Linked DNA regions of Arabidopsis thaliana. The protein of the gene in region 1 interacts with the protein of each later gene in a pairwise test. Each region holds a gene or a part of one and is shown on either strand. Other genes may lie near its edges. The genes, in order: NF-YB7 and NF-YC10.

The links.
Region 2: the proteins of NF-YB7 (region 1) and NF-YC10 interact in a two-hybrid assay, tested with the Arabidopsis thaliana proteins (2 studies listed by BioGRID).

What each region holds. Positions count from the first base shown.
Region 1 is NC_003071.7:5,654,651-5,658,205, forward strand, and holds NF-YB7 (nuclear factor Y, subunit B7), read right to left. Parts: upstream 1,869-3,555; 5' UTR 1,840-1,868; coding exon 1,192-1,839; 3' UTR 741-1,191; downstream 1-740. Other genes in the region: NAD-ME1 (NAD-dependent malic enzyme 1), read left to right, coding at 4-118, 379-453.
Region 2 is NC_003070.9:2,472,481-2,477,131, forward strand, and holds NF-YC10 (nuclear factor Y, subunit C10), read right to left. Parts: upstream 2,649-4,651; 5' UTR 2,431-2,648; coding exon 2,011-2,430; intron 1,568-2,010; coding exon 1,483-1,567; coding exon of another isoform or gene 1,472-1,482; exon of another isoform or gene 1,246-1,471; coding exon 1,204-1,245; intron 1,117-1,203; coding exon 1,043-1,116; 3' UTR 685-1,042; downstream 1-684. Other genes in the region: AT1G07970 (cytochrome B561, amino-terminal protein), read right to left, coding at 1-38; AT1G07985 (uncharacterized protein), read left to right, coding at 3,028-3,462.

The DNA.
Region 1 (3,555 bases):
CAGGATACGAGACATAACAAAAAGAATAGCAGCTGCGGTGATTAAGGAAGCGATTGAGGAGGATTTGGTTGAAGGATATAGAGAAATGGACGCTCGAGAGATCCAAAAGCTGGATGAGGTAACAATTCAGCTAATGACTTGCTTTAATATAATCATAAATGATAGAAAAAGAAAAGATGTCAAAACAACATCCCATCTTTCACGTGTTTTGGACTCCTGATCATAAAATCGTATTCTACGAAGAATGTCGATCGGGTTTGATTATATGTAAAGAACAGAAGAGTGTTTACCTGATTTCTCACTTAGAGAAAATAAAGACTAAACCAGAAACTAAGCCTAAATGTTAGTTATGTTGACGCGGTCTTGTGTATTCCGCAGGAGGGGCTGATGGAGTATGTGGAAAACAACATGTGGAATCCAGAGTACCCGACTTTGGTCTACAAGGATGACTAAGTTTGGTTCCCAAAATGAATAAGTCTACTTTCTCTTATTTATATGTAAAAATTTATAATTGGGGTTGCTTTATACCCAATCAAATTCATAGCTACTGCTTTCTCTTGTTCTTATGTAAAAAAAAAAAAAATATATAATTGGGTTGTTTGTTATCCAATCAGATTCATAGCTTCCACTTTCTCTTATTTATATGTAAAAAAGAAGTTATATTCAATCAGATTCATAGCAGCAACATTTTACATACATCGTATTAGAAATGCATTTACTTTTATAACTTATAGTTTCAGGTCAAGATACTAAGAGTAGTGAGTGAGGAACAATTTGAAGTTCTTTAATTCAAGCAATCATCTTTATCAATCATAACATGAGTAAATGAATGAGAAACAATACACCATTCTCTTCCAATTAAGCTATTCTCTACTGGAAACCTTATAAGCTAGACCACTAACTCTCAAACCGTAGGTGGTAAGTATTCTAATCCAATTAGCAGCATGGAATTAGTTTCTACTGTTGTAAATCATGAGAGATTGCTATATTTGCTCGAGACGAACTAATCCGGAAAATATATGAAGACGAATTTCTGTTACACAAAACCATGGGTATACTGAAAATATCAAAATGTACGTGTCTAGTGTCTATATAGCAACAAATATATATAAGCATCAAGATGTACTCACAAAAGGTAAAGAAAAGCATATAATATGTGAAAAGAAAGAAGAAAAAAAGCAAATGTCTCTCTCACCAGTGAATTGAATCAATGTTATTATCATGCTGCTGCGGGAACTGTTTCTGCAATGATTTAGGAGAGAAAGCAATATTGGGAAAAGGTTGATGATCCACTGGTAGGAATGGAGAAGGATGATGATGAGAGATGTAACTAGTACATGACATGTTGTTATTGTTTTGGTCTTGTTCTTGAAACTGATAATTATGATGATTCTGTTGTTGAATCTGCTGTTGTTGTTGTCTTTGTTGTTGTTGTTTTGGGCTGTTAACTTTCTCTCCTTCGGTGTCTCTATATTTGCAGAGGTAGACCTTTAATGGAGCCACGTAGTCTTCGAAACCGAGAGTTGTGATAGCCCAAATGATATCATCTCCATTGATGGTCTTCCTCTTTTCTCTTTGACACTTGTCAGAAGCTTCACCAGTGACGAAACTAATGAACTCCGAGACACATTCTTGAACGGTTTCTTTAGCGTCTTTTGAGATCTTACCGTTACCGGGAAGAACTTTTTTCATGATCCTTCCGACATTCGCAATGGGAAGAAACCGGTCTTGTTCTTTGTTGTTGTTGTTGTTGTTGTTGGTCTTTGAAGAAGGGCTTCCTGGATTTGTTTCAGCTACTCCAGGAGACCCATGATCTTCTTCTGGGCTCTCCTCAGTCATATCTCTATCTCTTTGTTTTTTTTTGTGATTGATGTTAACCACATGTGATCAATCTGATTTTATGGTTAAGCTTAGTGCATGAAACTAGGCAACTTTTCTATTTATGGATACCTTGCCAACCAAATTTGGAACTCCATGCGACTCGCTCCTTTTTTTTTTTTTTTTTTTTTTTCTTTGTTATTTGCCAGATAATAAAGAAAAGTGTAAGAAAATAGCAATCATGTAACATATTGTCATCAAATAGTGTTTTCAATTTATTATTTTCCGTAGTATGTTTATTTAGTATGTAGACAACTATAAATTATCATGTCTCCATAATGCTTTGATTTATTGTATTATAGTAATTTCCTAAACTCTAGCCTGGTAAATATATATGGTGGTTATTTATCCGAGAATATTACACGTAAAGGCACTATTTTGAAACTTTGGCCACAAATAGGCACTTTAAAAGCATTAGTCACTTTAACTCAGTAGAATTACCCCTTTACCCTGAAATCGTTAGTTTAACAAAACCTAACAAATTTAGCCGGTTTTCGGTTTAATTTTTTAATCTCAATCTCTAAACTAAAACCAATTTGTGAGAAACCTCTTTTTCTCACCCAATCCTTCACGACGATTTTACAGTTTCATTTATCTGGGCAGTTAAAATCATCACAACGACGATAACATCATCTCGACTCCGGCGATCATCCCAACGAGTTTTCTACCGGCAAAGTCATTTCCTCGTCCCTCTCCCGTCGTTATCGTCAACAAAGCTTTCAATCGGCCGACATTAATTCGTCCTCTCCCGTCGTCGTCGTCAACACTTGTTCTCCCGTCATGGTCTTCATTTTCTTGTCTCTCAATCGATTCGTCGTCTCCGGCGTGTGCTAGTAACTTCTACTCGGTCCTCAAATGCAAGGTATTAATCTTCTCCAATCATTTTATTTGCTCTAATTATTCAACCGTGTGCTAATTTTATTTATAATATCCAACATTGTGAAGAGCTAATAGGTGAAGACATGAATGCTACGTTAGGTGATATTTCAAAAATGTTAATCACAAGACCTTATCTTCTTACCACAGACTTCGGCTTGCTTATCTCCTCATTGTTGACGGTGTCCTCGTATCCTCAAACCAACCTATTACGTCTACATTAAAATATGTAGAGATGTTGGCAGATTTGGAGAAGTTCCTTAACTGACTGAGGTCTACGTAACTGACTGTCTATACACATGTGGATAAATGGTCAAAGAAACATGGATAATATACTTTGGATTGACGTTTATTGTTCATGTATAAACTTATGTATTAGTATGAAACTATCATGTGAGTCTTTAGATGATCATGGACTGGACTGCTTGGACAATCATTAATGGACAAATATGTCTTTGATTTGCTGCGAATATGTTTATAGCTCGATAAAATTGTATCAACATGTCTATATACATGTGGATAAATGGTCAAAGAAACATGGATAATGTACTTTGGATTGATGTTTATTTGTAAATCTTAATATAAATGTCATCCAGTCATAGTGAATTATCCAATCAGACAAACGAATTAATACAGTTATGTTGTGGATGGATTCATATGGATACATTAACAATTATCTTTATCTTTCAACATGAAAAGCGTTTGATATGGATACATTAACCATATCGATAATCTTATCTCTATATTGCTGTTGAATGTTTTAGTGGTTTGTATCATATTATTTGTTTGTTCCATCCATAA
Region 2 (4,651 bases), on another chromosome or scaffold:
GTAGTGTTGTTAATCTTCCTCCTCACATCAGAATCCATGGCAGGAAACGATTTCTCGAGCAAACCAAAGAGAAGGAAAAGGGTTTTAGGGATCGTCGGATTTTCCCGGCTGAGAGCTGCTCTCAGTCGCTGCTTCTGGTGGACCCACCCTAATTTTTATTCATACCCATCATATTATTTGAATTTTTAGTTTTACCCCCAAACTCTTATTTTGGATTATTTATTTTATAACAGAATTATAAAATGTGTAAAAAGAAAAGAAAATGTGGAAAGTTTTTTCAAATTGGTCTAGAAGAATGATTTTAAAAACCTTTTTTTGATAATTGGCTTGTTTTACTAATATTATAATTTGATTAGTAAGAATAATTATGGTAAAAATATTTTCTAAATATTTTCTGACCAATTGTCCTATAATTATAACTAGATTTTAACTCAGCGGTACACCGCGGAAACAATTTATTTTTTAATGTTAGTATATATAAAAGTTTACAAATTGTATCTAACTATAAAATATTTTTATTTTATAGTTTACAATTATTATTAAGTAACGTCCTGTCAAACCCGTCCAGTAAAAAAAACCATTTATTTTATTAATGTTGATCTTATTTATGATATGTTTATGAATCATTGTCTAAATATTTTGTAATTTTGTCTCTGTTTAGTTAATGTGGAGAGATTTTGGAAAGATTGTTAAATGTCAAATATTTAATTCGAAGATTTTCTTTCTAATTATCAAATACAAACATCAAAATCCAGTGGCAGCCATTGTAAATAAGTCCAACTACAAAATTTATTTCACAAAATGGCTGCAAAAATGTATATATAGATACTAAAGAAAGATATTAGAATTCCGACAACTCTTACAAATTTTAACTTGAAACAAGAAAAAAAATGTATACATTCTAGAAATCAAATATGTGCAATCTCAGTAGTGGTTAATAAGAAAGGTGAAGATCGGGCGGATGGAACCTATGAAGTATAAACCAGGACAGGGACACAAATTTGAATCCAAATGGTTCAGTTCGATTCCAACCGGATTTATTTCAGCCTGCATCTGTCATGCCTCTTTCCCATTCCTCCAACGCGGCCTCTGCTTTAAGTTTCTCGGGAACACTATCTGCATTCAAGATATTACAGGTATTAAAATGCTGTTCGTAAACCACATGGAACTCATAAAACGAATACTTCAGAGGTTATTAAGTACCTGCAAGGAACTCGTATCTCTGGTCGTTACTCACTACGGATGCTGCCAACGAGTAGAAATGACAGTGTCATCAATTATGTTAGGAGTGCAACAAATCTTGCAAGTGATACGAACGGATTAACTCATTATCTAAACTCTTCCTAAGACTAACTACTGGCCCTTGTGCAGAAGCCAGAAATCCTAAGTTCAGCAATTGGTGCAGCAGCATGAGATTTTCGACATGGGATTCAGTATTGAGGTAACCAGATATTGGCAAATAGGGACGAGATTAGAGCTTACAGAGGTGTTTGTAGTGGATGAATTTCTTTTTGTCCTTGACGGAACTATCATAAGCTTCTTCAGAAAACCGCTCAATGAACATCTCCTTCAATCACAAAAACCAGTTAATGTACTGTAAACGCAATGAACATCAATTTCGATGAACACAAGATGAAATCAAAAGAAAGAAAAAACAATGCCAAGTTCCAATACAGGAAAATTAAACACTCATCACTTAAGCTTTGAAAATATGAACCTAAATCATATATAAGGACTTTCTCATGTGTTAGGTGTCTACAAGTTCTGGATGTAAAAGCTAAACCTATGACAATCAAGCACAGTAACTACGGTTTCATCAAACACACATGGAGATGAAGCAATAACGTTAATTCCCGGCTTAATTAACAGAAACAATCTCATTACTGTAGCAATTTGCGAGATTATAACGCCCAATTAACACTGACTAGCAATTGATACTCCCAAATTCATCAAAAACCATGTGAAATTAAGTTCCTCAAGCTAAATTTATATGTCTAATTAGTACTATACCGTGGCTTTGTTGACAAGAAATACAGCATCCTGCATAATCTGAGGAGCAGAATTATCGCTTCTCATGATCCGCCGAATCCGATTCATCGGAAACTTGATCTTAGCATCTTCCGCGCCTCCATCGTCCTCTTCTCGATTTTTACTCGTCTTCGTCGGAATTCCTACACTCTTTCCGTTACCCCTCTTGCTCACGACGCCGTTACTTTTCTTCGCCTCATCGCCTCTTATTGCTTCTTCCACAGAGTCACTGCTCGATGATTCTGAGATCTCGTAAATCTCCGGCTTCTTCTTCACAATGTTAACCTTGTTCGACGTCTTCTTCGTTCTGGAACCGGAGCTGCGTTTACTCCGACCACTCGCTTTATTGACGACGACATCGCTCCTCGCCTTCTTCTCCTTGGGTTTCTTTGACGACACCATTAATTTTTTAGAACTACAGTATGTTTCACCCTTTCGCCTGAATAAATCGATGGATATTTACATGGGCTTATTTGTTTGAGCCTTTTAGGCCCATTTATCATATGATCAATTTAAGGAATGGACATGGTGATGTTGAGGAATGAAGATGCATGACGACTACTTCAAAATAAATTATTGGACATGCTTTCACTGTTTCGCATACACCTCGTAAAACATTGTATAGTTTATGGAGAAATAAATAAATTAGGGTAAATGTACTTGGGATAAGATAATGTTTTTATACAAGCATCCAAAATACATTATCTTGTTCCCGACATAATGTAAAGAAATTTTAGGGATTAGATAAGGAAGAATGGGTAATGTTGGAGTATGAGACAGAAGAGGTGTCCGCAAGCTGGAACCACCACGTGTTATCAACAACACGTGTGAGTCTCCATGAACTCTCTCTGCAATATTTAAACGTGGCCTAGCTCGTGTTCTTTCAATCTCCAATTATTACTCTATTAATAAGAGAAGACGAGTTTTGCTTTCGATACTGTCTTTCAACTATTCCGACACAACCAAAGCTTCTGGAAACGTTGTCGTTTGTTATCAATAATGGCTGTTGTAGAAGAACCGATACTTTCAAGATTGGATCGTATTGATTTCATGGTGAGGAAGTTAGAGGAGATGAAAGGAAGCTCGCCTAGAAGCTCGAGCCCATCGACTCCATCTAGTGGGACTCAGCCATCGTCAATGGATCTGTCGTCACCGAGGAGCATAGGGAAGGTACACTGCCGTTCGATGGAACAAGTCAGGGAGGAGACTGAGCGGAAAGGAACTTTGCTAGAGAGACTTAATAATGTAGAGGAGCAAGTGCTTAAGCTGTGTTCACAGTTTGAGGAAGAAGTTGAAGAAGAGAGGAAGAGAGAAGATAAGACGGATAAGGAAAAGAAGACCCCGAAGAAGAAGAAGGGATTGAGGAAGCTGGTTGATAAAGTTGTTGGATCTTCTTCTCCCACTAATATCCATTCCAAGAGCTGGCGTTGTTGAGTCATTGTAGTACTTTATTACATCATCATGTATACTTCAACGTACCACGTTTAAATGAAAGCTTCTCTTCTTTTTTCTTTGTTGAAGCGCTAGTGGAAAAAAATATCTTTAGGTCTCTCACTCTCTTGTTTGATCGTTTGTTTGTTGAGGTTTTTTGTTGTCCAGTATGCACTTTTTAAGTGAAAACAACAATGAATTTTCAGTGTACTTTCTATTTTTCAGAGTGCACTTTTCAAGTGAAACAATGAAAATTTGAAGGAAAAACAAGTACACACCTATAAATGATTAGAAAAACGAAGATGTGTGTAGTCATTTCCATAAACGTAACGATAAATTCTCAGTGGAGATGGTTAAAATAAACCGTAAATAGTTAAAATTTAACAAATGCCCAAGGTTTTGTGTAGAATAGAACAATTTAATTTTATATCTGTTCTCCGGGTTTTCTTGCTTCCCGATCAAATTGGGGTGTCAACATTTTGATCTAAAAATCAGTGACATCATATATGAGACTTTTCAACGTGTTTTTTTTTGTCTAAAAAAATTTCATCATTCTCTTGTCAAGTATTATGTAAGGTTAACAAATCTCCTCATAAATTTTTTAAAGATCGAAAATTTTCTAAAAATATGTAAACTTTTTTTCGTCTATGGTTTCTTAAGGTGTGAAGAAAAAGAGGCTGTTTACGGAGTTCACTCTGTTTGACACTTCAACCAACTTTTGTCTTTATATGTTTTTATTCTACACCATTAAATCAAACTTAAGACAATCATATGCATTTCTTTATCCACAAAATTGATTTGCTTATTGTACTTCATCATCCCGTTGTAAAATTTATAAGCACAATTTTCGCCAACTATTTATTCCGCAAATTGAACAGCTGATTTTATTTAAATTAATGTGATCTTTATCACAACAAATTCACAAGTCACCTGCTGCTGGTGACGCAAGTATCCCCCTCTCTGTTACAATATCTCACGATCATTCAATTGTATCCATAAAGATGATGTATGTTACTATCACCACCACCACCACCATCGTCATGAATCATGATCATCAGACAACGACTACGAAAAAATCATAAGTCTACTTTTATTAGACACACAAATCTGTGAAAATGGCGATTTAGTTAATAATAATTCGCTCAACTTTTTCTTAATCAATCAAAGGAATAAAATAACAAATAATAATAAG